2 linked regions of the Caenorhabditis elegans genome follow. The protein of the gene in region 2 purifies or fractionates together with the protein of the main gene of each other region. This does not show direct contact. Each region holds a gene or a part of one and is shown on either strand. Other genes may lie near its edges.

The links.
Region 1: the proteins of cpr-4 (region 2) and asp-3 fractionate together in Caenorhabditis elegans (co-fractionation; one large-scale study listed by BioGRID). This does not show direct contact.

The regions. Positions count from the first base shown.
Region 1 is NC_003284.9:6,789,526-6,793,530, reverse strand, and holds asp-3 (Aspartic protease 3), read right to left. Parts: upstream 2,468-4,005; 5' UTR 2,341-2,467; coding exon 2,282-2,340; intron 2,202-2,281; coding exon 1,925-2,201; intron 1,874-1,924; coding exon 1,769-1,873; intron 1,716-1,768; coding exon 960-1,715; 3' UTR 822-959; downstream 1-821. Other genes in the region: sgca-1 (Dystroglycan-type cadherin-like domain-containing protein), read left to right, coding at 4,004-4,005. UniProt on the Caenorhabditis elegans protein: Aspartic protease. Part of the necrosis cell death pathway. Involved in neuronal cell degeneration. Involved in heat stress response.
Region 2 is NC_003283.11:6,612,732-6,616,669, reverse strand, and holds cpr-4 (Cathepsin B-like cysteine proteinase 4), read right to left. Parts: upstream 1,997-3,938; 5' UTR 1,959-1,996; coding exon 1,956-1,958; intron 1,907-1,955; coding exon 902-1,906; 3' UTR 819-901; downstream 1-818. UniProt on the Caenorhabditis elegans protein: Thiol protease which shows activity against the fluorogenic substrate z-Arg-Arg-AMC.

The sequences.
Region 1 (4,005 bases), on a different chromosome or scaffold from region 2:
ATATTATAGTTTAAATTAATATAATACCATGATGATAAACTACAATTTCTTGTAGCTTGTCGACTGACAATATTATAATAAGTTTTTGACAGTAAATAAAACATTTTAAAGTTTTTAGAATAGTTGTACTTTAAAAATTAGCACATTGCAATGCTTTGCATAGCGTTAGAAAAATATCCAGGGAAAGTTCCCTCAATTAAAAAAAATTTCTCAAAACAAATTTTGAATTTAGTCTAAAACAAAAATTCAGACTTTCAAGTAGAGAAAAAACGGAAGAAAGAAGTTTCGTAACTTCTATTTACGCAAAGCATAAATTCACGTATATTTTCCGAGTCACCGGAAACATGCATTGTGTGCGGTCTTCCTTTACAAACACGACATGGTATTGCACAATAATCGCGCGGTTTTTGCGTGCACAAGTGTATATTTCAATAAAATCTAATCGAACATCTCAAATGTCTCTTCTAAGTTGAGGGGAGGAGGATCGGCTAGCAGGAATAGAAGGAATAGAAGGAAGAATGTCAAAAATATAAACAAATTTCTAACAGATTGTTTGTAGCACAAATGTGCCACTATTCTCTTGGAGGATTCTACGGAAAGTGTTCACTAGTGAGATTTAAAACATGTGGAAATGGAGTGTATCAAAGCATTTGAATCATGCTGGAACAAGTGAGAAAAGTACGAAAATTTCTTGCGTCATGAAAAAGTGAGAACCACATGTTTCGCGAAAGCTTTGGATTTTTTGTTTTCTTTGAGTACAGCATAAAATAAAACTCATAAAATTGTGTTTTCCTCCCACCCAATGTAAACTTTGTTATCAAGAAGCCAGTCAGGGTTTTTAGAATTCTTGCAAACGTATAGAAAGAACTGTTTTAGAACTTCTTATCATCACATAACCACATTTATTACAATCAAGCAAGTAATGGCATAGAAATTGAGTTTTTAAATTAGAAATAGGCTTATTTTCCGGTTCTAGAGGTGGCAAATCCAACTCTCTTGTTTCCATGATCGAAGACCGAGTAGAAGCGTCCGATGAAGACGTCTCCGAGAATCCAGAGTGGTCCGGCTGGGGCTGGAATATCCATTCCCATGAATCCAGAGAGGCAGGTGGATCCTCCGTTTCCGTTGGACATTTGAAGGATGTAGTCCTTTCCTTGAAGATCGAAGTTTTGTCCTCCGAGGTTGAAGGTGATGTTTGGAAGAGATGGAATCTTGCTGCACTCAACTTCGTACTCTCCATTGAAGAGTGGGATTCCTCCGATCTTGTGTTGGATCTTCTTGATGACATCAGTTGGTCCAGTGAGAAGGGAAGTTCCAGTGTCAACAATCGAGTCGATTGGTCCGCTGGTGTAGGTGGTTCCATCGATGACAACCGAAGCGAGCTTGATTCTCCAGTAGTCCTCAGAGACGAGTGGCTCCCAAGCGATGTTTCCGACGTAGTGGTTCGGATCGGTGTCGCAAAGGGTAATTTCTCCTCCGTTGGTGATGTCGTTGGCGTCACGGCTAAGCCAGAAAGCGAATAGTTGATTCTTGCAGATGGCGGAGTTGGCGAAGATTTGGTCCATTGGCTGAGAGATCTTGTTAACAGAGATAGTGTCCCATCCCATTCCGAAGATACCGTCAAACTTGGCAGCGACGAAGGTGATTCCTGGCTCAGAAGTAGCACAGGCCAATCCTTGGTTCTTATCAGTACAGTAGGTGGTATCATGTCCGAACTATAAATATATTTTTCAGCTATATTGTAAATAACATCATAAGATTGACTTACGCAGACAACATCGTTGTCAACGGTTCCCTTCATGGATCCAGTTCCGTATTGGATCTCGAAAGAGGCTCCAGTAGCAGTGCAGGAAGAAGACTTCTTGCAATCAAACTGAAAATTATTTTATTGAAAAAAAGTTGATTTGAATACTTCAAAACTAACTCTGTTGTGCATTCTGCAGGCAATATCTCCGAATGGGCAGTTGGCGCATGGCACCCACAAGTTGGAGGATCCAGTATCGAACAAAACTTGGAAGTTTTGTGGTGGAGTTCCAATGGTCACTGGTCCATAGTATTGAGCATTGGAGTAATCAGAAAGACCCTCGTTGAATGCATCCTTGTTTGGAATGTATCCTGGGACGTACTTGGCCTTAAGATGCTCTTGGATTGATCCGAACTTGTATTGTTCACGAGTGTAAGTGCGCTTCTCGAGCTTGATTCTAAAAAAAGAAGAAACATGATAAATAAATAAAATAAAATAATTTAAATATATGAATGGTATATTAAAAATGTAACTAACCTCTGGATGGCAGAAGCCAAGGCGACAAGAGCCAGAAGAAGGAAAACGCGGCCCGACATGGTGCGTTATCACTAATTGAGAAGCAGCGCTCCGGGTTTCTTTTATATGCGACACAAACTCTTGATGATATAATTGTAAACGTCACAACCGATTTTAGTGATAATTAGTAGAGGAGGTTGGCTGGCTGAAAACGGAATTATTTCCTCTCACCGAGTCAAAAGTTTAGATCGGCTATTAAAGTAGTGTACTTTGTGTGTAAAATGAGGGAAAACCATTAAAAAGTGTCCGGGTTGACAAAATGACTTGCTGACAAGGATCCGGATTTTATAGCGTTCTGTTTGCCAAAAGAACACATTAAACTTTTTCCAGCAAAATCATATGTACTTTCAGCAACAAGTCAACACTGCTTTGTCGTCGTCACACCCTCATCGTCATTCTGATCAAAATAACAATTTCAATGGCCTACAATTCAGATTTGTTCTCCCCTATTAAAATATGACTACACTTTAAAATTAGTTCTAGAAAGTTCCACACGTTAAAAATTTAATCGGCTTATTTTCACAAAATATGAAATCATTATCATTATCGTCAAATTGTCTCACAATTTTCGTTACGAAGTAGATAGGGAATACGAAATCAGAATTTGGACATTGGACTAGATGAAATAAATTGAGAACTGTTGCAGTGGTGGAGCAGGTGTGTATACAATTACTAATAATTTTAGAACCTGAAGTAATTTTTATAAATTTGTTTCATTGAACCAAGTATTGAAGTTTTAAGTAGTAAAACATGTGTTACTATAAATTGGCCGAAAGTTTTTTAACAATATTTTTTGTTGGCTTAAAAACACTTATATTAGTCGTGCATGACCAATAATCATAATATAAATATACATACTTCAAAAACTTTTAGATATATATACTTTTAAGTTGAAATTTTGGAAATTATATTGTTTTCCAGCCACTTCCAGAATTATGATAGGTGAAAACTAAGTTTTCTTGAATTTTCGACTGCACAAAAAATTTAAAAAGTCGTTTGAAAAGTTTCACTATAGTCTTAAACCTTTAAACCACAATTTAAATTTCATTTTCACAACGGCCAATACCCAACCTTTGACAAACTCTGAATTCTAGTTTTTTCAACAAAAAAAAGTGTATAAATGACGAAAATGAAAAAACTTTTTGTAGAATGATAAATTATTTCCCAGCCGCTGTGTCAAGGCTAATTAAACAAAATTGAAGTTTTACCTAGCTCTAGTTTTTTTTAATGATTTTAAAAAGTCTAACTTTGAAAAATTTACAATTTTCTTAATATTTACTCTTTCTTTAACAACTTTTTACCTTTTAGATTAAAAATTGTTCACCCCTTTTCTGAATTTCTGAAAGAGAGACTCTCCTGAAACCAAAATTCCAAATAAAGACATTCATATCACGTTTTCTTTCAAGTATCGTTTTTAATGTATATATTCATTATTTTTATCTTAAAAACATTATTGAGACGACATCAATCAACCCCACCACATCAGTTTATCTCATCAAGTTCATCATGCTCTAAAATATCGTCAACAATGATTTCCCCGGCGGGTCTTGTTGGCAGCTTCCCTCAAACCGCCAACCCAGTTGAGCTGTGTAAAAAGCAAAAGTTTGTGCGGACGGCTCAGCGAGCAGCCGTTGTAAAGGATCTCGTTCCACACATCTCTTTCACACAAAATCTTCACTTAAAAT
Region 2 (3,938 bases):
AAAGGTCCTTTTGATATTTTAGGTGAGATATTTTTAGACTTTTTTCAAACAATGCAAACTTATTTTAAGATATGACTTCATTTTTGTGTCTAAAAAAGTGTACCCGTGTCGTTATCGTTTCGACTTCAAAGTTCTTGGTCTTGTTAGACTCCAAAATATTAAAGTGAAATGCGTCAACACTATGTCAACACTATAAATTCATCTATAAAACTGTTATCAGATATTAAACTTCGCAAACGTTGTTTTTCGCGCAACATGATTCTTGCGAGAAAATATCCAAGAAACCGCTTCGATTAAGGGTTACTGTATGTATGTCAAAACCTGATTAGCGTATGTCAAACTAATTATATTCATCTACAGTATCCCATATTTGCCAGATTTTGAATGTAAAATCAGGGAAGGAATGTTTAAAGTGAGGGATTGTTATGAGACCAAAAATTGGGGGCTTTCATTTTTTGCAATGAAATGATATTACCCGGAGACGGGTACATCAAATTGTGTTTTTAAGAATTCTAAGTGATCAGTTGTAAACTTTAATAATTTTCAGACATTTCTGAAACTGAAAGGGATGGAATTTGTAAAAAGATTTTTATGGTTTTCTCTGGATACCACTCCATGCTTCAGTATTCACTATACTATACCTTCTTTAAGTTGCTAACTACTTTCCAAATTATCTCTAACTTTATCGCATTCTCATTTTGCTTCGAAAAACTTTAATGAAACTGATCATTGAAGCAAAATGCGAAGTTTAAACTTTCTCCTCACAAATATGTGCTTCATGATCCTATCAGTCCACGATTCAAATATATCAATCAACATTTGACTCTCGATGCATAATCATTTATTATTATTCATATCTATATACACGTATGAAAACAAATACTTCAATCAAATAGATTATTTAGACTTTTGGGACTCCTCCGACAACGGCGTGCTCAATTCCGCACTCGTTGGTTCCACGGATGATACGGAAATATCCGTTCTCTCCCCAGTTGACGTTCCATGAGTTGGCAACAAGCCAGTATGGAGTTCCGTTGTCAGTTCCCCATCCAAGAATTCTGATGGCATGTCCTCCGAGTTCTTGTCCAGTGGTGTGAACGTAGACTCCGGTCTTGTATTGGTAGAAGTCCTCGTAGACAGTGAATGCGGCCTCGACTGGTCCGTGGGCAATGATTTCAGCTTGGATCTGGGAGACCTTCTTTCCGACGGCGTAAGCGGTGCTTCCGAAGTGCTTGTCAGCGGTGTAGGCAACGTTGTAGTTCTTGTTGGTGCACTTGTTAACACAAGCTGGGGTATCGTATCCATCATCTGGGCAAGATGGCCAGGTAACGTTTCCGACGGTCTCTCCGCATGGGGCAAGGGAGTATGGCTTGCATCCGAACTGAGCCTCGTAAGATCCTCCGGTGCAGAATCCGCTCTTGACAAGGTACTTCCAGGCGTTGATTGGGTATCCTCCCTCGCATCCGTATCCGCAGTTGGAGCAGCAAGAAAGAACATCTTCAGCTGAGAGAAGGGTGTTGACGGCTCCGTTGGAGGCGATGCAGAAACGATCAGAAGCAGCCTCGGCGGCAGCGAACGCCCAGCAGGATCCACAGTCAGATTGGTCACGGATGTTGTTGATTGACATACAGTTTGGCCATTGGGTACGGGCATCGAATGTTGCTGGAATGGTATCCTCGTTGATATCATGCTTCACAACCTCAACATCTGGAGTGTGTGGGGCAACGAATTCGGTTCTCATGAGACGCTTCTTGACCTGTTCAATGGTGATGTCCTTTGGAATCTCAGCCTTCCAGAGAGATTGCTTTGAGTTCACATACTCGGTGATAGCTTCTTGGGTTTTTGGAACAAGTGGAATAACGAGTCCGGCGGTAACAGCCACCAAGGCAGCAAGAATGAGGTATTTCTTCAAGACAATTACAATTATTAAACTTCACGCTAAAACAACCACTTACCATTTTTGTAAAAGAGCAAATAGCAAGATAGAGCAAATGCTGAAGTTACTTCATTGCGATGGTCTTTTATAGTTGACTCGTTATCAGTTCGGGAGTGCTCGTTATCTCTTATCATTGGCGTCCGGGATTAAAATTGAAAAAATTTGCGGTACCTGGCAGCGCAAATTTCGATAGACAATGCCTAATTAGGAGGTAGTCATGTGACGCAGCACCATCATTTGAGCACAATGATCTCGTGCAACTTTGATAAGAGTTTGGAAGTTGTGTGGTTCAACGAAAGTTATCATTTGGAACCAGATTAGAAGTACTCAATTTTTAGGTTAGGTGTAAAAGTAGCAAGAAGGTTTGAACTATGAGGACTACTTTGTTTCCTCTGTACTCGCCAAAAATAAATTTTAAGTTCAATGTGGCAATAATTTGGTGCGTCTCTTCGTGCATTTATCCTGAAAAAATCAACGTGACTGACTGCTCCAGAAAATTCGAAAACCTTAAAGAATGGAATGCTCTGAAATTTTGCGAATTAAACAAAATTGTAGTTTTCAACATTAGTATTTCCCAATAGGCTTTTCCAAATTTTCATTTTCAAACAGAAGTTGTGATATTCTTTTTTTACAACTTCAGAAAGTATCATTTTCATAGTTAAATTTTAAAACTGCCCGCTTTTTAAAACCTGGTTTACAATATCTGAAACCGGTGGTATTTTTTTTGCTTTCACAATCCAACAAGTGTCACGCATACTTTCTGGCTTAATTGAATTTCATAATGAAGAAGAATTAAAGATTTCCGAAGCGAAGGGGTCTTCCTGACAGGTTGACCATCTACTCATTTCTGTAATTCTTTTTTAATTTTGGAAAAGATTTTTGGAAAACCAGCAACATTTTTATGTGCAATTTTCATAATTATATGTGGGGTTTTCAATACTTTTTGAACCGTTCTATATACTTCCAGAAAACCTGAAATCTTACTGCAGGCTAGTATATTTCCTTCTACATACCTCATGACACAGAAGCCGTGGCAATACGTGGATTTCAAACTTTTACGTCACAAAATTTTATGTTGAGGATTCTATGTAGAAAAAAAGTGTTATGCGCCCAAAGTATCAAAAACACGAATTGCCACAGTTTTCAGAAGTCAATCTGAAATGGGACAAGCTAGGGTTCATAAATAGGACGTCCACATCGTTCTCGATTTTGATACATTAATTTTATTAACAAAAATCGATTATTTGGGCCAATATTATCTAGATACGGATTTGAGCCTGAAGTTTCCTGTTAAGAGGACGCTAAGCACACAAAATTTAAGAGGACGACCTAGTATGTCCTAAATAACAGCCATAGGAGAAGCTGTCAAAATTGACAGCAGACAAACTCCGCATCATATCTTTTTTATAGATGTTTTATGAAATATTAGCTTATTTATTTGAATTTAACTTTTTAACAGTGGGTTTATTTTCGAATTTAACAGTGGGTTTATTTTTATATTTTATGCCTGAATTTGATTGAACTGTGCCTCCAATATTTTATTGCTTCTCGAATGTTTCCGATTTTCCATTTTTCGATGTTTAAACAATTTTCTACCATCCGTCCAATGATAAACCTATTTTCTTCTACCGTTTCACGAAATTTGCTTTTGATATCAAAATGTCGTTGAAGTATTAATTCCACAATTCTTGTTTACAGCGTGACTCCTGACGTGCTCAAAGATGAAAAAATGGGGAGAGCAGAAGTGCGATATTAGTTTCGATAATTTTTTTTCTATTGAGTTTCTATGTATTAGTCAGTTTCATGAACCGGTAATGAACATTTGATTTTAAAAACTGTACTTGACGTCATGTGTATCAACGCCTTGAAAACAAACTTCCGGATTACAATGAAATTAATGAAATTTTCACATGATAAGGTTTTGAAATACTACACAGTTCAGGCACATTAAGAATTTGAAAAATATATGTATACTGTCTTCAGTTACGACAAATATAATTTC